Caenorhabditis elegans: one gene and its partners. The protein of the gene in region 1 interacts with the protein of each later gene in a pairwise test. Each region holds a gene or a part of one and is shown in the gene's direction. Other genes may lie near its edges.

Region 1 (5,358 bases):
ATAAGTCTTACGGTATCATGTGAATCCATTTTGCACAGAGATTCGGCCAGTGAGTTGAGCAGCCGAGCAGACATAATCTGGACTTGAGAAGAGTTGTTAGGATCGTGAAGAGTGCGACAGAATACGAAAATCACGCTGAAATTTCAACATTTTTCATCAGAAAGTCTTATTCAAACTTACTGTGTGATCATTTCATAGTCTATAGAATTTCGCATGTGATGCAACAGATCTGCTAGCATTTGATACATGAAAACTCGCAAATGCTCAATCGCAGTGAATCCTGTTCCCAGAACAACCTCCTCAGCGATGAGTCGAGGTAGCATTGGAAAGAATTTCGACTTCATTTCTCCAGATGTGAAATACTTCAAAGCCATCAGAACTTCTCGTCGGACACTTATCAGATCAGCCGGGCACCGCTCGAGCATCTGCATTGTTCCCGACACTAGAAGCGGTCCATTTTGCATGATAAGATCCATAAACTGAAAAATAAAAATCAGGATTACAGAAAAAAAACTTGAAAAAACGAAACTTACCGCTGGAATCTTAGCCATAATGTTGACGAATGACAGGAATCGGGACTGTGCACTGACAAAATCATCGGTTATTATTTGATTTGTTTTGAGTTTATCCTCGTCTGGAACTCTGACATTTAGAAAATCAAGACCAAGCCTCATGAAATCAAGCGCTTCGGTTTGGATCGCTGTTTTGAAATGTTGATAGAAGAAAATCACGAGATACGGAACCTCCAGGAGCACCTTCGTTGACTGATGAGCTGATGGAATCATATTGTATTTTAATGGCGGTTTTCCTTCCGTTCCGTTGAGAAGAACCGTTTGTTGATAGTAGCAAGTCTTCAAATATTCAGTGATGACTTGCTCGTCGGAGCTAGTTGACGGTGGAGCTTTATGCTCTTTTATGTTGAACATATCACCAGCTCGACCACTCGCCGTCAGATCAATGACCATTGTTTTGAAGGAGACCATTATCTGTGAAACCTCTCCGCAATATTGCATTTTGCCGGTACTTCTCCCTTGATCGGTGACAATTTTGATAGCCAAATTGGCATTCTCCTCATTTTCCACGGTGATTAGCCTCATCATCTGCTTGATAATTTCTTTGCTATGATGTTTCATGGCTTCTACGTTCGAAAGTCGAAGAATGATTTCAAGCATTAACTTTCGAAGCTGTTGTGTATTGTTTTCAGCAATGAACTGTGGACTTGTGTTGCAGAAAACTTGTAGGAACGAGAGAATGAGCCTCTCCACGACTTTCTCGTGCGAACTTAGTGTGAAATGATTTTCGATTGTGCTCCAAATCTCCTGCAACCGAACAAATTGATTACTTAACACGAATTATTGAAACTAACTTGTAACATTTTCAATTTGACATCATCTCTTTGTGAATTATCGGCAAGATTTTGAATTCTCGTTTCCAGCTCTGTTAGGTGATTACTCCGATCGGACTGCACAGACCGATAGCCTGGAGAAGCCATAGCCGGATCCATTTTGTATTAGTGACCAGCACTGAAGATACTTCTAAACTATTGAGCTTTGTGCAACTATTTGAATAATTTATCTGAAACAAGATTTACGTGTTTAATTCACTAAATTGCGAAGGAAACAGATTATAAAATGAAGAATGGAGTAGAATGAACTATTAGGAAGTGAATGCAACAAGAAAAATCAGTCAGAAAACGCTGAAATTATCGGAAAACTGACATTATTTCAGCAGAAACAAAGAAACAACTAAATTTCAAACGAGAGCGAATTGTCTGCTGACGCGTATGTGTGTGTGTTGGCGCACTCGCGGTTGTTGGCGCATTTCACGTGCATTGCCACGAACGAGAGAGGAGATTTTATTGAATAAAAAAGATGTGACCTGATTAATATTTGACCCTTTCTTGACTTTTTCTTTTATTTTTATGATTATTAACAGTGTAATAACAAATTTCAGACACATGGGATCAGTTATAACCAAGGAAACGGTCTTACAGGAGAATATTTATCTGAAGAAACTCAGCGGTTTGGAACCTGTCGACGATTATGACCCATTTTGGAACAAACTTCTCTCTTTCAGTCTCAAGTTTGATGATGACGACGAGTAAGGATTAAAATTAGGCAAAAGCTTTAAAAATGTTATAATCGTTTAGAGACACCCGAATCGCTTTGGAATCTGCTTTAGATGATCATCTTCAATGTCTAATGTACAATACACAAACAACAGGAAATTTCGCTGCATTTATTCGACTTTTCCTTCGCAGAGCCACAGAACTAAAAACATCAGAACAATGCGAAAAGTGAGTTGGAAAAAAAAATCATCATTATATTTAATTAAAGCTTTTTCTTATTTCAGTAAAATCTACTTATGGCAAACATCAAACGCTCTTCTCATTCTTCGTTACATCGCCAGATTTTTAACTCAACGTATGACGGAAAAAGAATTCGTGAGGATTTTCGCCAAAAGTCATGAGAGTACGGAAACCGAATCGTCGTCTACATCTTCCTCGTCGGATGAGGAAGATGATGACGAACAGAAATCAGAAAACGAAAATAATAATGGAGGTAAATAAGCTTCATTTAAAAAAAAAATTCAATAATAATCAAATTCTGACGTTTTCAGCGACAAAATATATCCCGATAGTTTTTCAAAACACTGCAGAAGAGTTCACGTATGAGCTGGTTTCGATTTTAATCAATATTTCTGTAAAGTGAGTTTTAAATTATTTTTTAAAAAATTGAATTAAAATAATTTCAGCGAAACAACATTGGCAATCCATGTCGAAGCAGTTCGATGTCTCCTAACTCTCCTGAGCTCTCAACTATATAATGAATCAATTGTGAATACTTCAATTGTCTTCAGATTCTTTATTGATGGATCATGTGCGAAACACGCAGCTTCGCTCACTAAAACTCTTCTTCTCAATTATTTGATCCACAATTCAGAGTATCACATGACTGTACAAAAGCCACAAGAGAGCATTGTTTTTGGATTAGCTTGTATGTCACTGAAAATCTTTTTTAATTCTTTATTAAATTAAAAAAAAAACACGATTTTTAAGCATCAATGTGGTCAATGGTCCAAATGGCAACTGGTATCGACTCCGCAGAGGAAGAAAAGAAGCCCCCACTTACTCTTGGAAACTTAAGCATCCTGCTTCTCCTCAATCTTTCATGCCATCAACCTCTCAATTCATCCAATCCATTCAAAGAAACCCTTGCTCTCTTCCAAAATGCTCAAGAAGTATCCACATTGCCTACTCAGATTGTGTCGTTCAAAATCGATTATAATGGATTATACGAAAGATTGTGTGCTACCGCTGGCCAGGAACCTCCGATGCTTCTACTCTACATGCTTCTACAGGCGAACTCGGGATTCCGGAACTATGTGTTGTCTCGGATCAACCTCGAGAATCTAGTTGTTCCTGTTCTTCGAATTCTTCACGACGGTGTCGCGACATCGAACAACTCTCACCATGTTTATCTTGCATTGATTGTCGCCTTGATTCTCAGTGAAGATGATATTTTCTGCAAGATTATACACGAGACGGTGAGTTTTCACTAGAAATGCTAAGATTATATTGAAGTATATATTTGCAGATGATCAAGGATCTCGGCTGGCTGGACAGTGATTTCAGTGTCCGCGAGATCTCTCTCGGAGGTTTGACAACTCTTGTGCTGGTTCGAGCAATTCAGAAGAATGCTTTGAAAACTAGAGTTAGTTGTTGCTACCAAGGGTGTCATTTTTCAATTTTTTTTTCGATTTTTTGACGTTTTTCAGTGGAAATCGAAAAATCGAAAAAAATGTTCAGAAAATTAACCATAAAATATGATTTTTTATCTAATTTTGTTTATATTGATAAGAACAAACATAAAAGTTTCATCTAAAAAGAAGAATAATGGCCAATATATCAAGCTCCTTTTTTAAAAATCGAAAAATCGAACAATTGAAAAAGCGAAAAACCGACAGTTGCTACCTGAAGATACAAAATTTTGTTTTTTTTTAAACCAAACTCAAATTTTTCCAGGACCGATATCTTCACACAAACTGCTTAGCTGCTCTTGCAAACATGTCAGCTTTCTTCAAAAATCTTGCTCCAATTGTTTGCCAAAGACTCATATCACTGCTTGATCTTCTAACAAAACGGCATGCTAAAATGGTGGATCATATGAGAGTCAGCAGTCAGAATGATGTTGCAGATGGACAGCCGATCAATTTCGTAAGTTCATATTTTGTTCAAAAATCCAAATAAAAAGTATAATATTTCAGCATGACGACATTACTGCTCTCGAAGAAGGAATTCGAACTCTCCTTGAGATCATCAACAGTGCACTTTGTGGAGGACTCCGTCACAATTCACACCTCATCTACAACCTTCTCTACCATCGTGCTCTATTCGATGCATACGTTCAGCACCCAATGTTCCAAGATCTTCTTGTTAACATCGCAGCAGTAATCTCTCACTTCTCGTCGAAAGTGATACATGTCCCAGCAGGCGATGGATCCACAATGCTGCAAATAATCGAGAAGGAGGCAAACATATGGCCAACCGATCGACTCGCAAAGTTCCCAGAATTGAAGTTCCGATACGTGGAGGATGAGTACACTGTCGATTTCTTTGTGCCATACGTCTGGAGGCTATCTGTTCAACATTCGGGAATCTACTTCGAAACATCAAGAATCAAAATATTTAACGCCCAAAGTATTGCTTGACCCTCAAATTGTTTTATTAATCGGTAAGCATAATGCCGGTAGTATTTATTCGGACGCAAATATTGATAAGTGGCCTTATTCATGTGATGATCATAAGATACCATAATAATGTACAATAAATCTATTATCTAATTGAGTTCAGAGTCCTTTGTTGTAGTACACCACTTTCGGGGGATTTGCCAACTTGTTGATATGATCTTGAAGTGAAAGCTCCAGCTTATCAACTTGAATTGAGCTTTTCTGTGGGAAAAGAGCACAACAAATTGGTGTGGAAAAAGCCAACATGAATCCACAGAGCAATGTTTGAAGAGGTGCAGCCATTCCAGGTGTATACCATGCAGTTTTGGAAAGTTGCTCCAAGATCACTGGTCCTAGAACCATATTTGGAACCGCCATTCCAACACGACTGAGCACAACTTGTGGAATAGCATGACCAGGTGCAACTGTTGAAAATCCCATTGTTCTACCTTCACCATCTTCAACTGGAATTCCATTTGTAAATTCTCTGAAACAAATAAATTATTAAAATGTCTTTTAATCTGATTCTCACTTGTTTCTCATCATAGGAATATTAATTGCATTGGCGAATGCAATAGCAGCAAATGGAACGAGACGAGCAAGAATCGGCGGAGCATTTTTCCACTTTTT
Region 2 (7,158 bases), 810 kb from region 1:
ACGGAGATCCGACATCACCTGGAAAATATTTTTTTCGAAAATTGTACTTTTTAAAAATGAAACTTTTTTCATATAATAAATTTGCATTTTGCTTACCTTCTTCGTCTTTCCAAAGTATATCTCATTGATCGTCAGACGCATTTTCGACTCCTGATCCTCAATCATTCGTCCCATATTAGCCAAGTGTGTGTTCTGATCGTTGATTGGTGCATCCATCTCATGCTATAATATTTCTTTTTAAATATATTCACAACTCGAAACCAAAACCTGTCTTGTAAGGGAGCCACCGAGGTTCATCACACCGCTGGAGCTTTTGTTTGTCTGCAGCCACAGCATGATAGTGGAGGTGAGCTTGTAGTGAGCCTGGCGTGCCTGGAAAATTATAAATTAAAAAAAAAAACTCTTCAACAGTTTTTGAACCAACTCTTTCCGTGATCTCAATAACGTGAATAGAATCCCAACATCCTGTTATATTTTTGGCTCCGTCTCCCTCTTTCTTGATGAGCACAATTCCGGCGAAACCTCCATTATCCAAGTCCCAGAAGTAAACTGATGAGACGCCTCCCTCGAAGTATCTGGAAATTATTATTATTTATGAGCAAATATATGATTTTTCTGTCAACTTACAAATCACGGTATGACTCAAAAGCGGCATTTGCCTCGATTTCCATTTTTCTGCGCTTTTCCGATGGCAATTGTCCATCCTCGAGTGGTGGATCATAGGTATTACTCCATGGTGATCTGAATTATCAGAAAAAATCGATAGATTTCAAATAAAATGACTCATACCTGTAGCTATCGCCATCTCGATTGTAGTCACAAAGCAAATACTGTTTGCCGGTCTCACGGTCCGCGGCGATTTTCAGCGGTTGATCGATAGTGCCTAAAACCATCAAGCGAATTTTTTTAAATTAGTTAAAAAGGAAACATACTGAGAAGATCATCAACAAGATGAGGGCACAGATCGATGAGGTCCGTCAAATTCTTGTCGCAGTGTTGTGGAGGAAGTCTTCGCATCAAGTCGAGGGCACAATCGAGCTGTTGTTCTCCCTGGTAAATATTTATTATAAATTGTTTTTAAAATATTTATTAAAATACCATTTTTGATAGTTTCGAGCCGGATGTGGGTGTGCTCCCTGAAACAATAAACTTTTATGTCAGATTTTAAGTCGTTACAACCTATTAAAAACATAAAAAGACTCTAAACGATTGGGTAATGATTTTTTAGTTCACAAATAAGATTAAATTTCGCAAAAATATATTTTAAAAGCCATTAGAAAGCAGGAAAGTTGCGAAACGGAGCGACCACTTCATTGATTTTACACTCCGTTTCTCTCACTCTCTCGTCCCTCCACCGTACCCATAGTCACTCTCGTCGGCAAATCGCGGCGAGACCCGCGAGCTTTTGGCGTTTCGCCAGAGTTCTTCAAATTTTTGTTTTTTTCTTCGAGCTTTTAAATTTAAGTTTTTTCCGTCAATTTTTATGTTAATAAACCGAAAAAATTAATTTTAAATTAATTGACATGAAATTTTCATCGCAAGTTTATCCGTGTTCTGTACATTCTCATCGCTTCATCTCCGAGAAAACACCGAATCCACTAAATTTTGTTATTTCAGTAATTGCAGCCAAAACGAGTCAAAATTGGAGCGCGTCAGAGTAAACGTCACTGCCGCAACCTTCCATCTGAAGTGAGTATTTAAATGTGAAAATTTTGAAAAACTGGGTGAAAATTCGCGCACATTTCTGTAAATTGGCTCCCGATTTGGTTTTCAACGTTAAAAAACGAAAAAAAGCATTTTCAACGTTTAAACGTGCGTTTTAAGGAGGTTTTCATTATAAATTGCCAAAAAATTCCACTTTCCATTGACTTCAAATCATTATAACCTAGCTTCAGCGTGCAAAAAGAACAAAGGCCGTCTCGAAAGTCAGTGAGCATACTATGAAAAGATCGAGTTCAATGTTGGACATCAACGAGGACAGTCAACATTCCACGGTCAGAACTTGTACTTTTCTTTTGATCTTGCCGCTTTGCTAATGGATTTCTTTTTTGAATTTTCGTTGAATTTAATTATTTTATCGCTGCAAAGGGCTTTTACAATTTTCCCTGAAATCGTCACTATAAAAGAAAAGAAATAATTGCAATTTTATTGCATTCTCCGCAACTACATTCTGTTTTTTCCGACTCCAAATAGTTCAAAGTTCTCTAGAATCACAATATCTTCCTCTGAAGACAAAAGATCAGTTGTCACTAAAGCCACATGCCGACTTTTCTGTTCAAGGGGGGTTCCACCATATGTTTCGGCGCTCAAATTACATGTTTTTTCGCGAAAAAAAGCTAATTTTCCTGTAACCTGAAGGGTTTTCTTTTTAAATAAATAAAAATGTTCACGTTAATCCAGTGATATATCGAAACTAGGTGACCTAATTGACGTGGAGTTCAGATTATACCGGCTTTTCTAGAACTTTCTATCTGATTTTCAGGATTACTGCGCCGTTTCTTGATAGTTTTCGTCTAAAAACCGAGTATATTTTAATATTTGTTGGCAGTTTTTGTCTTATTTATCACAATTTTCAGTGAGAATTCCTTGGTTTTTCTCATGGGATAAGCGTTTTTCACTGGAAAATATATTTTCTTGGTAGAAAATTCTCCTCGACGAAATCGTAGTTATATTCTCCCAGCCGAACACTAAAATGCTGGAAAACTAGGAAACTAGGGTCTAGTTGAAAAATTTTGCAATTTTTCCAAGTACAGCAGCACTTTTTTAAAATATTATCTTTAATATGATTTTCCACCATTTCTCTCTCTCTCTCTCCTGACTTTTATCTTTTTCGTCATTATTTCTTTTTCTCTGTTACAGCACTGGTTCTGCTCTCTCCTTTCCTCTTGTCGTCATTCAAAAGGTTCCCTTTGGTTTTGTTTCTCTCTTTTTTTTTCAATCTCTACGTCTCACCACTCTCTCGCTCTCTCTCACATTGTTTGATTTTGATTTCAGTTTCTGTGCTGAGAGAACTTTTCAACTATCTCTTCTTTGTTTTTTGCTGTCATCTTCTTCCTACTCTTGAAGCCGCCCGATGCTCGGTTTTGAGCCACTCAAAGCATTGAGGAATACTGTTTTTATGAAATTATCACCTTTTATTGCATATTTTGGTTGATTTAGGCACATTTTAAGTCGGTAGGCGTCCAATTTTGATGCCTATCTACTTAAAATGTGCCTAAATCAATGAATTAATTAGAGATAAATGACCAAAAGATGCAATTCAGGATAATAATTTAGGAGAAGTTGGAGTAATTTTAGATTTTAGCAATGTTTGGCTACTTTTTTCGGACTTTTCAGGCCAGTTTTAGTCAAAAAGCTGCTCTTTCCAACTTATTTTGCACTCTATGCCCTGCGTCTCTCACTATCTCCTAACAGTTCAGCCATTTTCACTCTCATTTCATCTGCCTTGGCAGCTGCATGTCAGCAGGCTCCACGTTTAACAAGCTCTCAAATTTTGCTCTAAAAAGCCGAAAATACATACCATACAGAATTATAATATTTCAGAACAAAGCTCCACCACCGAAGAAGGCGCCAGAAGATCGATTTGATAGTGCCAATATGAACGGTAAGTAGATAATTTCAATGAAAATGTGATTTTAGAATAAAATAACTTTTTTTTTGTATTAGATTTTTGTATTCACTCACATTTTCATAATTAAGACAAAAACTAATATGTTGAAAAGCTTCAGGAAGTCACGTCACCCTTGTCGAGAATCTTCCAGTTGAGAAGGTTTCAAGTGGCGAACGCATTGCCATCCTCGACTTTGGAGCACAATATGGAAAAGTTATTGATCGACGTGTTCGCGAGCTTCTCGTACAATCAGAGATGTTTCCACTCAACACGACAGCTCGTACACTCATCGAGCTTGGCGGATTCAAGGGAATCATCATTTCTGGTGGTCCCAACTCGGTATTCGAACCAGAAGCCCCGTCAATCGATCCAGAAATCTTCACTTGTGGATTGCCAGTTCTTGGAATTTGTTACGGATTTCAGTTGATGAATAAGCTCAATGGAGGAACTGTAACAAGAGAGCATATCAGAGAAGACGGAGCATGTGAAATTCAAGTCGATACGAGCGTTCATTTGTTCAATGGACTTCACAAAACAGAAACTGTCTTGCTAACTCACGGAGACAGTGTATCAGAGGCTACGGTGGCTCCAGACTTCAAAGTTATGGCCAAAAGTGGCCATCATGTTGCTGGTGAGTTTATTGAAAATTTTATTCACATTTTTTTAAAACAAAAAAAAACAAAATTAAATAATAATTTTCTGATTTTAATATTTACCAATGCTTCTAACCCCTCATCAAATATTCGTACTTTCATCTCAAAACCTTTTTGCAGGAATTTGTAACGAGAACCGCAAGCTGTACGGTGTCCAGTTTCATCCAGAAGTAGATCTCACTACCAACGGCACGAAAATGTTCGAGAATTTCCTTTTCAAAGTTGTCGGATGCTGTGGAAATTTCACTATTCAAAACCGTGAGCAATCGTGTATTTCGGAGATCAATAGCATTGTCGGTGACAAGAAGGTACTCGTAATGGTGTCTGGAGGTGTCGACTCGGCTGTTTGTGCTGCGTTGCTCCGTCGTGCTCTTGGACCAAATCGGGTCACAGCAATTCATATTGACAATGGATTCATGCGTCATGAGGAGAGTGATGCTGTTGAGAAGAGTCTTGCGGCGCTTGATCTTCCGATTCACAGTGAGTTTAAAAAAATTTTTTTAATTCAAAAAAAAAAATTAATTTCAGGGTATAACTTCGGCACAACGTTCCGTTCCAGTACAGAACACTGCAAGGATGGAGAAGTTGCGTTGGATGAGTGTGATGATCCGGAGATGAAGAGAAAAATCATTGGAAATACATTTATTCGCGTAAAAGATGTGATTATGAAGGACTTGAATATCAATCATGATGAATATTTCCTTGCACAAGGAACTCTCCGTCCAGATTTAATTGAAAGTGCAAGTGCTCTTGCTTCGGGACACGCGGACACTATCAAAACTCATCACAATGACACATTTTTGGTGCGAGAACTGAGAAAACTCGGAAAAGTTGTGGAGCCGCTGAAAGATTTCCACAAAGATGAAGTCAGAGAGCTTGGAAAAGATCTTGGGTTGCCTGAAAGTATTGTGCAGAGACATCCATTCCCAGGACCTGGTCTTGCGATTCGCATTCTTTGTGCATCAGATAAGAGGCCGGAGTTGATGTTCAACGGTCCGATGTATAATGGAGATGTGCAAGGAAGAATTATCGATGTTACTGAGCAGTTTTTAAATTCTGCAATTAATCCAAGTCAAGGAATTTATGAACACCTGCAGTTCGAGCAGGCACGGAACAATGTGAGTTGTCACTATTGAAAACTATATCCAGAGTCTATTATTTCTGTTTTTCAGGTTCTACTATCACTGTCTGAAAGAGATCGCCAACTCGCCGAGCAACAAACCTTCCAAATCAGTGCTCACATTCTTCCAATCAAAACAGTCGGTGTTCAAGGAGATGCCAGATCCTATTCGTATGCAGTTGCACTGTCCACCGAGCAACGACCAATTCCATGGAAACTCCTGTTCGCGTATGCTTCAGTCATCCCGAAGCTGTTCCACGGAGTCAATCGAGTCGTCTACGCATTTGGATCAAAAATCGAGTTTTCGATCGAGGACCTGACGAGAACATATCTTGTACCACACATTGTCACTAAACTTCAAATGGCGGATCACATCGCCAATAATATTCTATTCGGACGTGTCGCTGCTTCGGATGGTACGCAGCTGCCAAATGTTGGGCACAAAATTCAACAGATGCCAGTCGTCCTTCTGCCTGTTGATTTTGATCGTGATAGAGATATGATTGGATCATACAGGCACTCGATTGTTCTTCGTCCGTTTGTCACATCGGACTTTATGACTGGTCAGGCTGCGATTCCAGGAGTTCACTTACCGGAAGAGGTTAGTTTTCGACAAACATTTGTTTTTTTTTCTAATCAATTTATATTTCAGACTCTTATTGAAATGGACAAGGCCATCAGAACCAATGTTCTTGGTATCTCTCGTGTTCTTCTGGACATGACCTGTAAGCCACCGGGCACCACCGAATGGGAATAAGCTTTTTCGGACTAAATCGTCATCACTGGCCTTTCTCTTATCATTTTATGGACTGATCTTCATCCGATGCGAAATAATAATTTTCTCAGGTGTCTTTATCATTTCCGCTTCCCTCCATTGTTCTCTTCCCAGTTTTACAGTTCAATTCTTTCTCTATTAGTTTTTATATCATTTTCATCTCTTAAAAGAAAGGTTTTTCAGGTAATTGTTAAATAGATTATTGTTGTATCATGTTGATTTTGATTCTTCGTTTTTTCTCATCCCGGGTGCACTTTTCCAACGTCCTCTGTTCCCTCCCCAATTTTTTTGCTCCGATTTTATGTGTTTTAAAGCGTTAAACGTCAGTTCCCAGTGCCGAGTTTTCAAAAGGTGTCCATCGGTTTTTTTTTTAAATTTTTTATCTAGTGCTCAACGATACCGATGAACATTTCCGAGCTTGGCGTGAATCCCGATAGATTTGATTGATATTCACGGTGCTGCTTTTCTTCTAAATATAAATGGTTCTTGTTGATTTGTTTTTTTGTTTGGAGAAACGACACAATATCATTAGGGCAAAGAAAATTGTCATAATAAGAGCAACAATCTTTGTATCTGGACCTTGTAAAAATATTTTAATTCTGAACTTATGCTTTTACAAGTAAAGTCAAATCTTTTCCAGCAATTTATCAATTTTTCGCGAAAAATAACTTTAAAAAATTACAGTAATCTCTCTTCTTCAATTAAAGGCGCATACCTTTAATTTGAAAATTGTATGAATCGTGCCGAGACCTTTGACCACACGTTGTGCACGATCCTTTAAATTTTAAATTTTTGCACAGGTTTCTGACCGATTTTCGTTCTGTTTTCGGCTTCTTTGTATTTTTTTATTGAAATTTTTCATTTATTTAGGTGAAATAGGTAAATACCAATAAATTTCCATTTTACTTTCTCCCGCCAAACTGAAATTATCAGCGAAAATTCAATTTTTTCCTCTCTTGTCTCTAAGGACATCTGAAGCTAGTCTTCCTTCTGCCAGCAT
Region 3 (4,880 bases), on another chromosome or scaffold:
TCCTGTTAGAAAAATACAATTTTCTCTGAAACTTTTCCCACAATTCCATGAAGGGGTATTCAAAAAAAATCTCAATTTCAGAGTAGTTGAGTTTATCAACTGCAAAAATTGAAATTTCTCTTAAAAGCTGAAGAAATGCATTACAAAGGTTATTTAAATCACTTTTACTATTCTGTACGCTTTGCACGGTGCAGTTTTCAACAGTTTTGATTGTCAATTTCACTTGTCCCGGACTCAAAAACTTTTTCATCGCCGGAAAAAGCCGGCCAAAGCCTAACTTGAAGGCAGAAGCCAACATTGTACCAAAATTCTATAATTCAAGGTTGTCTGGATAAGATAAAACAAAAAGTCAACTTCCGAAGAACAAAACAAAAACTTCAAGGTTTGGTTTTCCTCCTTTGCAAATCTTTTTTTGTTATCAAGAATCGTTTCATCTACAAAAGTGGCAAAATTATGATGAAAGTAAACGAGTGTGTGTTTCAAAAGTACCTTAACTTCTTCTCCGTAGTTTCTACCGAAATTCCAATCTTCTGACATTTCCATATTTCGTCTAATTTTCTCATTCCTAATTTTTTGTCAATTGACAAAAATGTGTTGTTTTGAGACCTATTTTCCTGACAAATTTTGCCAACAAGGTAATATCAAAAAGGTGTAAATCCCAATGATTCCTCTTTATCCCACGACAGTCCTAATATTTTTATGGACTCTTCTCTGATTTACAACGATGGTGTTCTGTTGACCTACTGACCGCCGGCAAAGGGAGTTTGAAAAAAAGTATGATATGGGCGGTGGTATTGTACCCCCAGCGACAGAGCAGATGTTTTACAACTCCTCCTCTTCTTATTTGCCACTTTCCTCTCGAGACAGACACCCATATAGTGTGAGGCTGTGAGTATCTTCTACTAATGTTTTTACCATCTAACAGGTGCTGATACTTTTTCTTTTTAAACACTTCCACTTTTTTGTTGCGCTTGTGTTGTACTTTTTGAAAATGATGTAATCTAGGAGGTACCGTGAAAATTTTAAATATCTGTAGATTGTTGAGAATTAGATAAAAATTGTTTGGCGCTTTACCATATTTTTGAAACATTACTTCAAATTTTCTGGTAGTTGTATCGTATAACACTGTTTTATCTTCCCGATAAAAATCTCGCATTCATTGTTTTTTTTCAATTCTGAAATGTCTCCCAAAAAAGTTTGAATTTGATTTCTATTCCCAGATTACTTGTTGAACCACACACGTCGGTTAATTTTACTATCTATCGCCCCGACAATCATACATAAACTACAATTATCAAGCCAATTGTTTGTTTCAATTTTCGACTACTGCGGTTATTGATAATTTACCAAATCTCTAGTTCCAAATTGTTTTCATAAGAACAATTTTAATTTTCCACTGGTTACCTGCTTTGATTTTAAATTTCATTTTAATCAATATTTTTATAAACAAGGCGCTTGAAAAATAGTTCATTACTAATTAGAACACAACAACTCCTAGTTTTGGCATCGTCTGCTTGTTAAGTGTATTCATCAAAACATTTTATTCTGTTTCACAATCTTTTTAATATTCCGCAGTCGGCTTTCAAACTTATTAGTATAAATTGTTTTCTTTTACTACTACATAATAATACATTTAGATGACGTCATCAATCAAATCTGATGCTCCACAATTTCTGCTCGATTTGGATAACTGTTCTTCACTTCCTCCAACACCGCCGAAAACCGCATCTCCAGGTAAGTTGCAATGCTAATACATAGTTGAAGGAAAGCATCGGGGGTTTGAAAATTCGTTGTAAGTACAACAATTTCATGAAACAGTAATTTTTTTTCGAAAGCACAAAAATTTTTTCTAATTTTTCCCAAGCTTGTAAAAAAACTTTGTCGAAATCCCATATCCATTACATAATTGGCAGATGTATATTGCGTCGGTTTATGTGTTCACAGAGCAATTCACACTCATTGTTTCAACTTTTTTGCCAAGTTTGCGCAAAAAGCGTCGGGATTGGTTTCCCATCATTGTGTTGAGTAGGTGCTATGATAGGGTGTGAATTGGATTTGGGTTACGGTCGGAAATTTGCGGAAAAGTTATTTGGGCTCTTCTTCGAAACCATTATGTGTCAAAAACAGTTAATTTATTTCACTGTTTCAACGTTAGTTAAAGACAATAGGTTCTATTCGAGGATTGTTGTAGTATACGAGGAGTAGGAGAGAAAAGTACTTTTTAACCTTTTAATTATTCGTCTAAATAATTTTCCACACAGTCCTAGCAAAAAAAAAACATTTTGCGAAAAGTTCAATGTTTTACATGTGCATAAAAATGTTTAGTTTATTTAGCAAAAATACTAGCATTTAGCTCTATTAATATACCATCTACCGTATATTCTCTATTAGAGCGGCGTATCTAATAGTACGGCGTATCTATTAGAGCGGCACCCTAACTGGCTCTTCGAAAATTAGAGCGACAGTCTCTATTAGTGCGGCACCCCTTTTTTTTTGGGTGCGAGAGCCACCTCAATTATTTGATTTCTTCGAAGACATTTTTGTTCATTCTTGAATGAATTCATAAATTTTCATTTAAATATTGAATTTTAGTGTCTCTGTGAGGCAAAATTACACAATTTTCATAAATTTTTTCCATAAAATATGAGGTTTTAGAAGGAAATTTTGAGGTTACTACTCCCAAAAGTAGTAACTTCAATATGAAAATTAGTTATCGAAAATTAGTGCGGCAGTATCCAGTAGAACGGCAGTCTCTAATAGAGCGCACGTCGCGAAGGGCCCGGAAATTAGTGCGGCATGCCGCTCTAATATAGAATATACGGTACATTTCATGGTTGATGAACGGGCACTAAAGTCCAGGTATTGTTCATGCAGAAGATGCGAGTTGCAGATGTATTTGTCAGCACCACCTGTAAATTGAACACATCACCAGATATCGTGGGTGATGAACTGGAAAAAGTGAGGAGATGGGCTAGATTATACATTTAATATGGGACTGACTTAAATATTTTACTGTTTCAATGTTTTAATAAGTTTTGTTTCCATTTTCTAAACTTGTTTTCGTTACAGCAATTTTTCAACGCGTTAATTTTAGCTGTGCATAATTAAATTTCTTGTTGAGCTGTGTGTGTTCTCTCATGAATTGCTGACTCAAATACTCGAGATGCTTCGTAGAGCTAATTCAAAGTTTACAGAATAGTTAAATCTTTGTTCTTCCAAAATAATCTGATTTCTCTTTCCCTGACACCGACTTTCAGATTTATTTATTTCTGTAACTACAAATTTCAGGTAATTCAAAAATGAAGGGCTTCAACATCTCGGACTTGTGCCTCGACTTGGACAGCTCAACTTCCAGCTCTTGCTCCGTTTCACCAGGTTAATTTTTCTACTGTTTCAAACAGTTTCAAACAACGCTTAAAATGTGCGCATATGTAATTTAATATTTGTTCCAGCTTCTTCCTTCCACACCCGCTCTGAATCAGTCGGTCAACAACAGTCTGGTAGAAATTCACCAGGTAAGGCAAAATATTTTGTTTTTAAAATTGTCAAGTGTTTCACTACTATGATAGTTTCATACATTCAGCAGATTTTTAATTACTATGTTTACCAAAAAATTTACATATCTTTATAATTTTTAGTCTCAAGCTCCACCGAATCACCAACCAAAAGACCAAAATACTCGTACAATGCATTGATCGCCATGGCTATTCAGAGCAGTCCATTCAAAAGTTTGAGAGTCTCCGAGATCTACAAATATATTTCTTCCAACTTCTCCTACTACAAAAACCAGAAGCCACTTCAATGGCAAAACTCGGTTCGCCACAACTTGTCTTTGCATAAAGAGTTCCGAAAGGTTCGAACTTTGGATGGAAAAGGTTTGTGTTTTAACAGGACTTAATAGAATAATAGTGTTTCTTTTCAGGCAGCTACTGGGCAATGACTGCGGATTTAGGAACTGATGTTTATATCAGCAACAACTGCGGAAAGCTTCGTCGCCAAAAAAGCAAAGTGGCCAAGTTTCCACCAATGCAACAACATTTTCCAATCCCTCAGCTTCCAACCCAAAACATTCACCAACTTTGTATGCAAAATCCTCAAATTCTTGCTACATTGCTTCAAAATATGTATCTTCAAAATATGCAAAACCTCCAGAATATCCCCATGGTTCCTGGCTTTCCAATAATTCCAGTTCCCATTAATCCTACCTCCTTTCATTTTCCTAAAAGTTCTTGATAGAATAGCCTTCTGAGTTTTTTGTTAAATTGATTGAAATTAACTGTTGTCCAAAATCAGTTTTTTTGTTTTTTCCCCGATTTGTGTTTAAATTATTTGATTTTGTTGGATTTTGATAAATATTTAGAAAACTAGATTCTCTGTATAAAGCTTGAACTCACCGCAACAATTAGTGAATTAAAGTGCTCCAAAACAAGAAGACAAAGTTAGTGATTTGCATTAATTGAAGGGTTTCCTTCTCTTTTGAACTCCGTGGTTTGTGCAAAACTACTTATTTTCTTCCGCTTGTAGTTTAGAATGCACCCGGGTCAAAATAAAAAGTCTGAGTATATCTTCCGGATTTAATTTTTTTTCAAATGTTTCATTTACAGTGATTTTTCCAATAAACAATAATCTGTAACTGTGCTTTAAAAATTTTCAATCCGTGTATAGATATTTCTCATTCAAAAAGAAATTACCAAGAAGCAGAAACATTCTACTTTGAAGTATTATAATAATTCAAGGTACCAAATTATGCATTTTTTTAAACTTTAGCCAAGGATTTTTAATACATCGAATTGTTTCATATATGATTCACTTCAAGCTGACAAAAACTAAAAAAAATGGCAAAGGTTTCAATGTACCTTTTCAAAAACTTTTAAAGTGTT

Evidence for each region. Proteins that work in one complex are often made in the same cells at the same time.
Region 2: the proteins of C47D12.2 (region 1) and gmps-1 interact in a two-hybrid assay, tested with the Caenorhabditis elegans proteins (one large-scale study listed by BioGRID).
Region 3: the proteins of C47D12.2 (region 1) and pes-1 interact in a two-hybrid assay, tested with the Caenorhabditis elegans proteins (one large-scale study listed by BioGRID).

Annotation. Positions count from the first base shown.
Region 1 is NC_003280.10:11,674,353-11,679,710, forward strand, and holds C47D12.2 (Dymeclin), read left to right. Parts: upstream 1-1,953; 5' UTR 1,954-1,957; coding exon 1,958-2,100; intron 2,101-2,149; coding exon 2,150-2,296; intron 2,297-2,352; coding exon 2,353-2,561; intron 2,562-2,619; coding exon 2,620-2,707; intron 2,708-2,754; coding exon 2,755-2,996; intron 2,997-3,058; coding exon 3,059-3,546; intron 3,547-3,596; coding exon 3,597-3,713; intron 3,714-4,024; coding exon 4,025-4,216; intron 4,217-4,266; coding exon 4,267-4,710; 3' UTR 4,711-4,845; downstream 4,846-5,358. Other genes in the region: trr-1 (Transcription-associated protein 1), read right to left, coding at 12-135, 181-479, 534-1,319, 1,367-1,504; sfxn-1.4 (Sidoreflexin), read right to left, coding at 4,849-5,215, 5,261-5,358.
Region 2 is NC_003280.10:10,863,174-10,870,331, reverse strand, and holds gmps-1 (putative GMP synthase [glutamine-hydrolyzing]), read left to right. Parts: upstream 1-1,617; 5' UTR 1,618-1,689; intron 1,690-1,889; 5' UTR 1,890-1,940; coding exon 1,941-1,994; intron 1,995-3,159; exon of another isoform or gene 3,160-3,216; intron 3,217-3,543; coding exon 3,544-3,604; intron 3,605-3,722; coding exon 3,723-4,241; intron 4,242-4,383; coding exon 4,384-4,743; intron 4,744-4,791; coding exon 4,792-5,381; intron 5,382-5,435; coding exon 5,436-5,984; intron 5,985-6,035; coding exon 6,036-6,140; 3' UTR 6,141-6,650; downstream 6,651-7,158. Other genes in the region: cap-2 (F-actin-capping protein subunit beta), read right to left, coding at 1-18, 97-222, 268-372, 425-575, 628-741, 790-883, 933-1,050, 1,099-1,101.
Region 3 is NC_003282.8:5,001,115-5,005,994, forward strand, and holds pes-1 (Forkhead box protein pes-1), read left to right. Parts: upstream 1-1,633; 5' UTR 1,634-1,637; coding exon 1,638-1,734; intron 1,735-1,750; exon of another isoform or gene 1,751-1,771; intron 1,772-2,186; exon of another isoform or gene 2,187-2,207; intron 2,208-3,058; exon of another isoform or gene 3,059-3,079; intron 3,080-3,288; coding exon 3,289-3,375; intron 3,376-3,452; coding exon 3,453-3,515; intron 3,516-3,594; exon of another isoform or gene 3,595-3,615; intron 3,616-3,638; coding exon 3,639-3,875; intron 3,876-3,922; coding exon 3,923-4,233; 3' UTR 4,234-4,372; downstream 4,373-4,880. UniProt on the Caenorhabditis elegans protein: Transcription factor. Plays a role in embryogenesis and later development, perhaps acting redundantly with forkhead protein fkh-2.